Canis lupus familiaris: one gene and its partners. The protein of the gene in region 2 purifies or fractionates together with the protein of the main gene of each other region. This does not show direct contact. Links are inferred from orthologs where the notes say so. Each region holds a gene or a part of one and is shown on either strand. Other genes may lie near its edges. The genes, in order: REPS1, AAK1 and AP2B1.

Region 1 (4,429 bases), on a different chromosome or scaffold from region 2:
TTTTCCGTGCTTTTTGTTCTGGAATTATAGGGAAAGGACTGGGAACCTGTCCTGATTTCCTCCCATGGGCCATCTATAGGATCAGAAAACTCTAGGGAGCAACATAGAGAAGACAAAATTAAAAAAAAACCAAAATGGAAGAATCTGTGTCACAAACAGCCTTAGCTGTTGTTTTTGAAATATTTCATATTTGCTAAGCATAAACTCTTCAGTGTTGTACGTGGGCCATCTTAGGATCTCCTCCCAGGGCGGTGCCGACGGGCGGCTATTGCGGGGCAGGGAGCCCTGAGGTCAGCCCAGGCCCGCACGAGCGAGGTCACCAGGTCGGCCTCGCGCGTAGAACAAAACCTACGCGCCGGTTTTCCCCTCTATTCCGCAAATTCTGTTTCTCAGGTAAACATGGTTTGGAGCGAGAGCGGCAGCTGGAGCTCAACGTTCCCGTCAATCCGGGAGTTCCCAGGTAGATGGAATCTTCCAGGTAGCAGGGACAAAGGCCCAGGGGCAGGAAAGACCTTAAAGGCCTAGGACAGGTGGTGGAGGAAAAGATGCTGAAGGCAACTGTGATCCAATCCCTACCCCGTTGCGCTCCTCTTGTCTACACCTTTGGAAGACAAGCCATCTGTAGGGGCGCACAGGGATACTGCGTTTAGCCTCCGCGACACCGGACCTCTAGGGCGCACAAACAGATACAACGATTACCCCCCGAGCACTGTTCCTCTTTCAATCAACGCTCATTCGGCCTCCAGTGCCCGGAGCTTCGAGGCCATCGAAGCGCCCCGCCTCGGCGTCCCGGGGCCGCTGCTGGGGGCCCCTAGCGCGGCCGCCTGGGGCTGCGGTCGGCGCGGGCCTCCCCGCGGGGCTCCGGCCGCCAGGGGGCGCTGCGGCCCCCTCTCCCGGGAGCGGCCGAGCCCGCCCGGTGGGTGTTTCTCTCCCTCTCGCGCTCTCTCCTCCCGGCCTCACATCCGGGTCTGGAGCGCGGCGGCCGCTGTCAGTGTCGGTGCGGGCGCGTCGGGGGCCGGGCCGGGCGCAGTAAATGGCGGCGGAGGGAGGCGGAGCGGCGGCCACGCTCCGCTCACAGCCCCCGAAACTTTAGCCGCGAAGCCCCACAACTTTCCGGGAAGCGCCGGCGCTCCGGGGGCGTGGACGGAAGGGGAAGCCGAGGCGGGGAGTCTGGGGGGAAGCGGCGCGGAGCCGGGGAGCCTCGAACCCGCGGCGGGGGCGGGGGCGGTGGCGGAGTCCGCCCGAGCCTCGCGCCGCCGCGGCCCCCGCCTCCTCCTCCCCCGCGCCCTCCCCTCGGCCGCGGAGCCGGAGCCGGAGCCCGAGCCGCAGCCGGAGCCGGAGCCGGAGCCCGAGCCGGAGCCCGAGCCCGAGCCGCGCGCCGAGCCGAGCCCGGGACCGCGCGGGGCCTCGCGGGCGGCGGCGCGCCGAGCGACCTCCGGGCCCTGTTGCTCGCGCGCCCCCCGCGCGCCGGAGGCCGGGGCTCCGCGCGGCTCCGCGGGGCGAGGAGGAAGCCGGGGCGCGCGCGGCCCCCGCCGTCCCGGGGTCGTGGGGCCGGGCCCCGGGTCTTGCATGCGGGGCGGGGCGGGGCGGCCGTGAGCCGGAGGCGAAGATGGAAGGCTTAACGCTGAGCGATGCGGAGCAGAAATACTACTCGGATCTCTTCTCCTACTGCGACATCGAGAGCACCAAGAAGGTGGCGGCCAACGGGCGGGTGCTGGAGCTGTTCCGGGCCGCGCAGCTGCCCAACGACGTGGTCCTCCAGGTGACGCGGCCGCCCCGGGGCTGGGCGGGAGGGGGCCCGGGCTCCCCAGCAGCGGGCTGGGGCCGCAGGTGCCCGGGCGGCCCGCGCTCGCGCCGCGGCCGAGGGGGAGGGGTCGCTGTTGGAGGACAAAAGTCACGCCGGGATCCGGTGCGGGTGCGGGTGGGGGCGGGGGTGGGGGTGGGTGGGGGCGGGGGTCTGGGTATTCTCTCCCAAGAGCCAAGTCCGGGGTCTCGCGGCTGCCCCCCAGACTCTGCTTTTCGACGCGGGAAGAGCGACTTTGAGATGAAGGATCTTGCATTGCTACCGTGTCTTTGAATCCTGGATCCTGCAGAGTAGTAAAGTTATCGGTGTAGATAAATTTTTTTTTTTTTTTTTTTTTTTGATTCTTGAATGAGCCAGCAGATGGGACAAAGTGGGGTTTTGTAGGACTCGAAGAAGCAGTTTTCTTTTAAGGAAGCTGAATTCTTTCTTGGGGAGATCAAAAATTTGGACTTAGAGCTAGTCGTCTGCAAATAGATGTGGAAAGAACTTGCAGCTAACTATAGGACATGTGACTGATGTAAACTGGACAGTTTGCGATTGGCATTCGGTAACATTTGGTGGAACTTGTGGGTTTGGGCTGGGAGATGAGTATTGAGCCAGCTGTTAAGTCAAACGTGCATATTTGTTTGCTTCAATCAGATGTGTAGCACTAGAAAAGCAAGCAGTAAATTTTAAGCTTTCTCTATCACGTCTGTTTTTAAAATAGAAGGTTTCCTAGAAGGTCTTATCTAATGTATGTGGTGAACATTATTGTTACTGTTTAATGATTCATAGCTGCTAGTCTGTCTAAACAGCATATCTGGGGCAGGTTTTAAGCTTTCATCTTTATCATGATCCAAGCCACTTACCCACATCTCCAAAACTTAAAGCCATATGCATAGGTATAATGTAGTATACTGCAGAGGGCACTGAATCTGGGTTTTTGAGGCCTGGGTCTTTGACCCCATTCTGTTGTTAACCAGCAGTGGGACTTTGGGCCAGGTACTTTCACTCTTTAAGCGTAAATCTGCTCATCTAATGAATGAGAGGTTCCTTCTGACAAAAATTTTGGAAGTATAAAAATGCCCACGAAGGTCTCTGTTTTAGAAATTACCTGTGTGTTAACTATGACTAAGTTGAATGCGTTCTTTTTGCATAATCTTATATGTCTCATATTGCTTTTTAAAAAGTTTTGGGAGGAAAAGTTGGATGTCTTAGATACCAACAGCTAGGAGTCTAAAATTTGTGCTGCTGTAAAGGGACAAAAATAAAATATTTTAGGCTTTGCTGGCCACATACAGTCTCTCTCGAATATTCTTTGTTTTTGTTTTTGCGACCCTTTTTTTTTTTTTAAGATTTTATTTATTCATGAGAGAGGCAGAGACATAGGCAGAGAGAGAAGCAGGCTCCACGCAGGGAGCCCGATGTGGGAATCCATCCGGGGACTCTGGAATCACGCCCTGAGCCAAAGGCAGACGCTCAACCACTGAGCCACCCAGGTGTCCCTGAGACCCTTTAAAAATGTAAAAAATATTCTTAGCTCGGGGGCATACAAAACAGGGTTGGGAGGGTCTACAGTCTGCTGATTCTGGCTAAAAAATGGTGGGAGCTTTGGGATACCATACTCTCACCTCTTATGCCTTTGGAGTTAGACTTTTAGAAAGACGTCTGGTCAGAACATGCTCATTAATTCTATTGCCCTTCTTTGTAGCAATAGCAAAACACACTTTCAAGTCATTTAGGAACTAAACGAGAAACTTTATGAGTTCTGTTTTGGTTTATGTTTTTGGGGTGGAGGGAGCTAAAATAAACAGACTTTCATATTTTTAATGGTGCCAGAAAACTTTAGGACTTTTAGTGTATTATTTAAGATAGACACATTAGTGTTAGTTAACCTTTGCTTGAAATCTGTTTAATCAAGTTATTTTCACGTTTTGCTCGGTTTTATTAACATTCAAAAGTATATTTCTGTTGCTTTTCAGTATAAAGAAAGGACTTACATAGCATAAATATTCAGGATTCAGTTACAAGCTGGAAGCTGTAGGAGCTCGCTGAAGCAGAACTAAGTATTTTGGGTATATTTGAAGGCAGTTTACTTAAAAACCGGCCTAAGACATAAAATGTGAGACAAAAGGGGAATATGGATTTGATTCTCTTGAGAATTTGGGATTGTCTGAAAACACAGCCTCCTGTTGCTAAGCGGGAGACATTTGAGTCAACTCAAATACATTAAGTTAGCTACTTAACTGGGGTAGGCATCACAGGGCATCGAAAGAGGAGTAAGAATCTCTCAAGGACCTTGTAAACTACAGAAATACACATATGTGACATAAAGTACCATGTGAATGCCATAGGAGAGGTACAAAGGAGGTGTGATCAGGAAAGTCTCCTTGACTTAATTGAGATGGACTTTAAATTAGTATGGCGGTAGGGCAGTGGGATGAAGGACTTGCAGGCAGAAGAAAACATGATAAAAGGTGGAAAGTGTAGGAGCCTTTTCAAGGGGTAGCAGATAGTTAGGTTTTGCTGAAGCTGGAGTGTGCCTTGGGGACAAAGGAACATACAGTTGAAAGAGACCATATTAAGAAAGACTAAGGAATATGCAGAAGATTTCGTATTTCAATAGGCAATGGAGACTCATTGCTG
Region 2 (3,649 bases):
GGAGGCTTCAAAGAAGAGGGGGCATTTGAACTGGAGTTGGAAAGATGAATGGGATATTGATGGTTGGGTATGAGGTGGGGGCCACAGAGAGCATTCTAGACTGAAAGAAGAACATGAGAAAACATACAGAGGCTTGAAAGTATCAGGAGTGTTTCTGCAGAGGTGAGAAATGTGGCTGGAAATCTAAGAAAATGAGGCTTTTTACTTCCCCATTGTGGAATTCCTCTATTTGCCCCCCTCTACTCTCATTTCACCCTGTCAGCGTGCTTTGCCTTTTGTTCCCTGGGGATGATCCTTGTCGAGATACTTGGGGGGAATAACTTTCCTATGCATATTAATGGGATTATCAGAAATAAAATAATTATACGACTATGAACCAAATTTTCATATGCATTGCTAAATAATATCTTGGGGGATCCCTGGGTGGCGCAGTGGTTTGGCGCCTGCCTTTGGCCCAGGGCGCGATCCTGGAGACCCGGGATCGAATCCCACGTCGGGCTCCCGGTGCATGGAGCCTGCTTCTCCCTCCGCCTGTGTCTCTGCCTCTCTCTCTCTCTCTCTCTGTGACTGTCATAAATAAATAAATAAATAAATTAATTAATTAATTAATTAAATTAAAAAATTTAAAAAAGTAATATCTTGGAATGAGTGGTTGGGGAATGTTTTTCAGGTTGAAAATATCCTCTTGCATGACCGAGGCCACTACGTCCTGTGTGACTTTGGAAGCGCCACCAACAAATTTCAGAATCCACAAACTGAGGGCGTCAATGCAGTAGAAGATGAGATTAAGAAGTAAGCTTTTCCTCCTTTCTTGGAGTTCTGTCCATTACCGGATCAGCAGCCGTATTTTCAGCTGAAGGATGAGTAGGTCAGGGTGGGAAGGCCATGGTGCTAGTCGTGCTGCCCCTTGTCTCAGAGCATCGCATTGGCGGTTGGATTGTTTGATTTTAGGTGCAAGATGTGGAAGGGGTCCACAAGCATTGGTCAGTAAAGTGAAGGACTCCTACAGCACTTTATCAGTGGTCCAGCGATCACTGTACGTACATATTTTGACATGTCACACAGCCCTCACAAAGCTGAATGGTGCACAAACCGTAGAGGAACTGTGATGTTTTTAAATGGAATCACAACAACTGTGACATTATCAGTCAGTTGGATGTGCTTTTCACTGAACCCTACATTGCTGTGTTCTCCTTCTTGCTCTTAAGGAGCTCACCAATCTAGTGGAATTAATGGTAAGTAGGGCTATGAAGGCTCTACAGGTACCGAATCACTGACTTTGATGAGAAGAAGCTTCCTTAGATTTCTGGCTCTAGTTAGAACCTGACCCAAGTTCCCCTCTTGTCCAGAGGGTGAGGTTTTTCACAGGTGACGACACTCACTAATTTTACTAATAAACCAGCAGTCTGGTATGCACACCTGTATCCTCATCCTCAGTCTCCTTTCCTGGGTCACCCCTGGCAGCCAAACTGGGCATCATAAGTCACATGCTTGGTAACATCAAGACCCTCACTTTGAAGCTGAGCTTATACTATCTTTACTTGAGCCAGAGGTAAGAGGAAAACTGTTGTTTCATCCACTTCCCACCCCAGCCAGGACCCACTCTCTGCTCTTCTCCAGTGTCTTAGCCAGGATTACATTATCTGTGTTGAGCCACATTTAAGGGAATCGGTGTTCTTAAAAACAAATCAGAAAATACAGTATCAATATAGCATCAGACAACAAGGATTTGCAGGGGAAGATTTTATCATTTGAGGACCCAAGAAAAGTGCTTTTAGCGTTTACTGAAGTGCCATAGTGTCTGGGTCTCCACATGCCCTCAGATAGAAGGACCGCTTCCAGAGGGCCATGGGTGTGTGCTAAGGACAGCTTTTCATTTTATCTGCACTAATATTTCATACTCTCTTCTGCAGATGGCTCCCAGGGAACTAGACTTTATTAATATCAATATATATGTTTTTAAAAAGTATTTCTGCTACCCCTGGTTTTTAATTATAGCACTGACATATTTAACAAAAACCAAATCTCTTGATTGTAGATACACAACGCTGTCCTATCGAGCACCAGAAATGGTCAACCTGTACAGTGGCAAAATCATCACTACGAAGGCAGACATTTGGGTAGGTGTCAACTAACCTATCCGCATCTCAGATACCAGCTGTCTTGACTGTAGATTCCCAAGTTTAATCCAGACAGTGCCATAGCGAGAGTGGCCACTGTACCATACCACTGTCTACTTACCCTCAGGGTTAATCTTCACTCCAGATGACCAGCCACTGCTTCGTGAGGCATGTCAAAGGAAATTACTTTAGAGTTATGTGAGAATTATTCAGGTGACCTGCCCATTATTTAGGTGGTTTTCATATATGCATTACTAGTTCTGAAGAGCAAAATAGCTGAAATACTTGTTCCTTACTGGAGCACCATCTGGTAATGATGGTAGAAATAATGTATCTCAGCAGCTAAATAGTGGTGTTGAGTTCTAAATTCAAGTTTCTAGTAGGTGAGTAGTTACGTAGTTTTTATATCTGCTAGTAAATGTGGATGATGCCATTCTCTCTCTGTAGACCCGTTTGCAGTAATGGTAAATAAACCACTCGTAGCAATCTGCTTTATTTTTTTAGGCTCTTGGATGTTTGTTGTATAAATTATGCTACTTCACTTTGCCATTTGGAGAGAGTCAGGTGGCAATTTGTGATGGAAACTTCACAATTCCTGATAACTCTCGATATTCCCAAGACATGCACTGCCTAATTAGTAAGTATTTCAAGTTTCTAGTTTCATATTTTTATCTCTTATCTCCAGGAATGAATTGGGGGAACAAAGAGACTGGATCGCAGGAGTGATGGGTTGGGTGCAAAGATAAATCAGTGGGTAATGGTTGGTCACTCAAAGATAATAAATATAACAGTGTCTAGTTAGAGTGGTAGGTCTTTTTGCTGTAAATCTAAGCTCTTTTGCACTTGAGCAGAAATCCTAACTGTGCTTTGAGCAGTACATTACTGCTCTGTTCTCTTGCAGTCAGTGTGAAAGAGTCCAGCTGACTCCTATCAAGTGATAAGAAATTCATCTTTGCAAAACTGGAAGAAACACAAATTGAAATGATTGCCATGCGTTGGCTGGAGTGAATACATAATTAAGACTGTATAACTCCATGGAACTAGGTTTTTTCTCTCTTTAGGTTAATCACTGGATTTTGATAACCAGCATTTAAACTCAGTGCTTTGTTTCAGATGTTTTTTTAAGATTCCCCCACTCTTTTGCATCATCATGGCAAGCATATGTACTAGTTCATTAACCAGATGGTGGAACAAGTAATCTTTGCAAAAGCCCTTGTACTAAAATATGAGACAGAAATATTTCATCATCTCCTCACATTGGTCAAGGGATTTAGCATCTCAATTTTCACCATTATGGGTTATAAATCCTGAGATAGTTTGGGTCCTGGGTGTGGTTGCATTGAAAAAAAATAGAAGCAGATGTGGGTGGAGCATCTGACATTTGTTGAGGGCCTACTTGTGCCTTATTTAATTCTTAAAAATCTTAGATGGTAGATATAATCCTCCCCATTATACAAATGAGGAAGCCGAGGCTGAGAAAGTATAGGTACCTTACCCAAGGGAACATAGTTACAGCTTTCCGATGACGA
Region 3 (3,649 bases), on a different chromosome or scaffold from region 2:
TAAAATAAGTCATTCCTGAAAGTTTCTCAAAATCTACCAAGTAATCTTAAATTTTCTCTAAAGCTTTCTCAAAGATAATTGTGAAAATCTCTCCAAATCACCTCCTGATTTGTAAAAACAGGTTAAGAAATTTTAAGAGTATTATAGTTTATTATAGTGTTTTATTACATTCAAAGAGACCCATTGATGTGTTGCCTGTTTAAATCACATATGTGTAAGTATGAAACGGGGGACAACAGATGATGATAAATGGGCTCATTTTATTTATCTATTGTTTTCATTTAGTCACTCTAAGTTTGAATACGTTTGAAAATTCCAATAATAAAAAGTAAACATATGTATAAACACATATATTACTTGAGAATATGGTGGGCTGGACAAAAACCAGTCCTTCCTCCACAATAAAAACTTAAAATAGGTCAAATTAGGCTTGTTCCAGAATCCTTCCATCCTCTCAACTGGACAAAAATCTAAGCGCTTGGGTACCAAACGAACAAAAATTCTTTATTAAACCATCAGTTAGCCCCTATCCCTGACCATCTAATTTTACAGGTTCTATTTCAAGAAATTTACATTATTGCAAAGATGCCTTTTTCTCCCTAAACTGGAAATACCTATATGAGTTATAATTCATTTTCACCTCACTCCACTGCACATTGTTAGCCCCACTGGGTATTTAACAAGTTTCCATGGATTGCATGATATCCTGTTTATTTGGAAGCCTGAAACCTGGAGCATGGAGCCCAAACACTTATTATCTTCTCATTTGTCCTCAAGTAGAAAATTTCAAAGACAGTGGCTCAGGGTAAGAGTGACTCAAAAGCAACACCAAAACACAACTTGGGACCAGCTAAACATTCTATAAAATAGATACTAATGCCTTGTATCTTTCCTTATGGAATTAAAAAAAAAAAAAAAAAGTGCCACATGGTCTTACTCGAGGGAAAAAAAGAAAGGTTGAATCTTCTAATGCTGGTGGTGATACCTATCAGAAGTCATGGTTTAAGCACATATATACCTGCACCAGCTTCTGTGCCTGGAAGGTGGCTACAAGATTTTTTTTTTTTAAGATTTTTATTTATTTATTCATGAGAGACACAGAGGGAAAGAGAGGCAGAGACACAGGCAGAAAGAGAAGCAGGCTTCATGCAGGGAGCCCGATGCAGGACTCCATCCCCGGACTCCAGGATCACACCCTGGGCCAAAGGCAGGTGCTCAACCGCTGAGCCACCCAGGCATCCCATGGCTAAAAGATTCCTAATGATAGGTACTACAGTACCTTAAAACAAAACAAAACAAAACGTGGTTTTCTTCATCCCTTGACCTTGATGCTAAACTTGAAAGATAATAAAAGCCAAGGCTATTCAAAGAATAAGATGAACCAGATGAAATATTAAAGCAGAGATCTGAGCACATGATTTGCAAGTAAGAGACAATGTCTATTTCAAGGCAAATTCCAACTCTATTTCAAAAAGTTCAACAACAAAGAAAGCATTCAGAGGTTATCCAGTGATTAACTCAAAGTTATTCACCTCCAAGTAAATAGTGCATTAGGCAAAAAGGGGAGGCCTTATTCCTCCATCTTCTCAATAATGGCACCTAGTCATCAATCACTCCATTCAAATGAGCTCCAGTTACTAGCAGAGTCAACATACCACTTGGGACTTTCTCCCCTTCATTATATGGACAAAGTTAAAAATATTAGTAAGAGAAATAAAAGGTCCTCAAACTTTAAAGTGTTATGTTCTAGCTGCCAAACACTTAGAATATTAATTGTCAAAAAGAATTTTGTCTTAGAATTTTCCTGTATAAGAATGCATTACAATAATTAGGCAATAAATAAAACTTTGTTTCTACTCCCACACCAGAAAAGACCACAAACGTCTGAAGAAATAATCTTTAAAAAAACTGATATAGGGACGTCTGTGTGGGTCAGCGGTTGAGCATCTGCCTTCGGTTCAGGATGTGATCCTGGGGTCCTAGGATACAGTTCTGCATCAGGCTCCCTGCAGGGAGTCTGTTTCTCCTCTGCCGATGTTTCTGCCTCTCTCTGTGTGTCTCTCATGAATGAATAAAAAAAAATATATATATATATATATACATCTATATATAGATATATATAAATTTAAGGTAAAACTCAAAAAATTATTAAAGAGCCAAGGTTTCTGAGCAAACACAGGGGTAGGTATGATACAAAGGTTTGCTTTAAGACCCCTGTATTTTAGTAGCACTTGGTTTTCACTTGAGAAAACAACTAATGTGTGAGACATAATCTGAGGGACACACAGAATTCATGTTTCTCATAGCTAATCTGTTTCAATATCCCAGAGACAAGATTTGTTTTAAATATGCTTTTTAGGGGATCCCTGGGTGGCTCAGCGGTTTGGTGCCTGCCTTTGGCCCAGGGCATGATCCTGGAGTCCCAGGATCGAGTCTTGCGTCGGGCTCCCGGCATGGAGCCTGCTTCCCCCTCTGCCTGTGTCTCTGCCTCTCTGTCTATCATGAATAAATAAATAAATAAATCTTTAAAAATTTTTAAAATAAAAATAAACATGCTTTTTAGGAAAGCCTCGGTGGCTCAGAGGTTTAGCGCTATCTTCGGCCCAGGGCGTGATCTTGGAGACCCAGGATGGAGTCCCATATTGGGCTTCCTGCATGGAGTCTGCTTCTCTCTCTTGCCTGTGTCTCTGCCTCTGTCTCTCTCTGTGTCTCTCATGAATAAATAAATAAATAATCTTAAAAAAAATAAAATAAACATTCTTTTTAAAGGGATGCATTTTAAGTACTGCTCTCTATAAAAGCAGAAGCTTATTACCATTGGATTTGAATCTGCTATGAGATCCCGCAGAGAATCCAGAAATCCCTGATCTTCCACCATTTGGGCATTGATATCATGGAGTTTTGCCACACAAACTGCTGCTGTTTTCCGAACATAGGGATCTTCATCCTTCAAGCACTTGCGTAGAGGCTCACAGAGATATTCTGTAATCTTGTCCACCCGGATGCACCCCATGGTCCTGACTGCCAAGGCCCGAATTAGAGGATTGGGATCTTCACAATCCTAAAAAGAAAGAGAAAGAGAGAAAGAAAGAGAAAGAGAGAGAGAGAGGAGAGAAAAAAGAAAAAGAGGAAGAGGAAGAAGAAAAAAAGAAAAAAATCATTGACAACTACAGGTATACATGGTGACTAAAAAGTAAACAGTCTAGTTTATACAAGCCTCAGAAGAACATTTCCTTTATGTAAGCTTCCAGTTACACTCTGTATCAGACACTAATCCCCCATACTATTGTTTCCTAAGTACAAATCTTAATTGCCTATTTAAGAGCTTAGGTTAGGAATTCATTTAACTATTTTACAAACACAATGAAGAAATGCCCAGTAGTATTCATTCCAGGGTGAGGCAGAAGTCAACTGGTATTACCATCACCATGGCTGTTACTGTATGTGCCTTAACAACAGGAAAAAAATGAGGAATTGGAAAAACGTGTACCACTCCCGAGTCAGTCTGCAAATATCCCCAACCCTGCACATGCATTCACTTTCTTGCTCTCTCAAATGAATAAATCTTAAAAGGAGATCTTACAAGGATGAAATGATTTTTCATCTTTATGTTTGGAATCTGCTTTAAAATTATCCATTAGGAGGAGTG

Evidence for each region.
Region 1: the proteins of AAK1 (region 2) and REPS1 purify together in Homo sapiens (affinity purification with mass spectrometry; 3 studies listed by BioGRID and IntAct, counting the BioPlex papers as one, with this or other methods). This does not show direct contact. The link is inferred for Canis lupus familiaris from reciprocal best matches to the Homo sapiens genes AAK1 and REPS1.
Region 3: the proteins of AAK1 (region 2) and AP2B1 purify together in Homo sapiens (affinity purification with mass spectrometry; 4 studies listed by BioGRID and IntAct, with this or other methods). This does not show direct contact. The link is inferred for Canis lupus familiaris from reciprocal best matches to the Homo sapiens genes AAK1 and AP2B1.

What each region holds. Positions count from the first base shown.
Region 1 is NC_049222.1:31,452,190-31,456,618, reverse strand, and holds the start of REPS1 (ralBP1-associated Eps domain-containing protein 1), read left to right. Parts: upstream 1-1,528; 5' UTR 1,529-1,609; coding exon 1,610-1,762; intron 1,763-4,429. UniProt on the Homo sapiens protein: May coordinate the cellular actions of activated EGF receptors and Ral-GTPases.
Region 2 is NC_049231.1:69,533,257-69,536,905, reverse strand, and holds part of AAK1 (AP2-associated protein kinase 1), read left to right. Parts: intron 1-670; coding exon 671-792; intron 793-2,038; coding exon 2,039-2,120; intron 2,121-2,624; coding exon 2,625-2,757; intron 2,758-3,649.
Region 3 is NC_049230.1:38,021,460-38,025,108, forward strand, and holds part of AP2B1 (AP-2 complex subunit beta), read right to left. Parts: intron 3,062-3,649; coding exon 2,816-3,061; intron 1-2,815. UniProt on the Homo sapiens protein: Component of the adaptor protein complex 2 (AP-2). Adaptor protein complexes function in protein transport via transport vesicles in different membrane traffic pathways.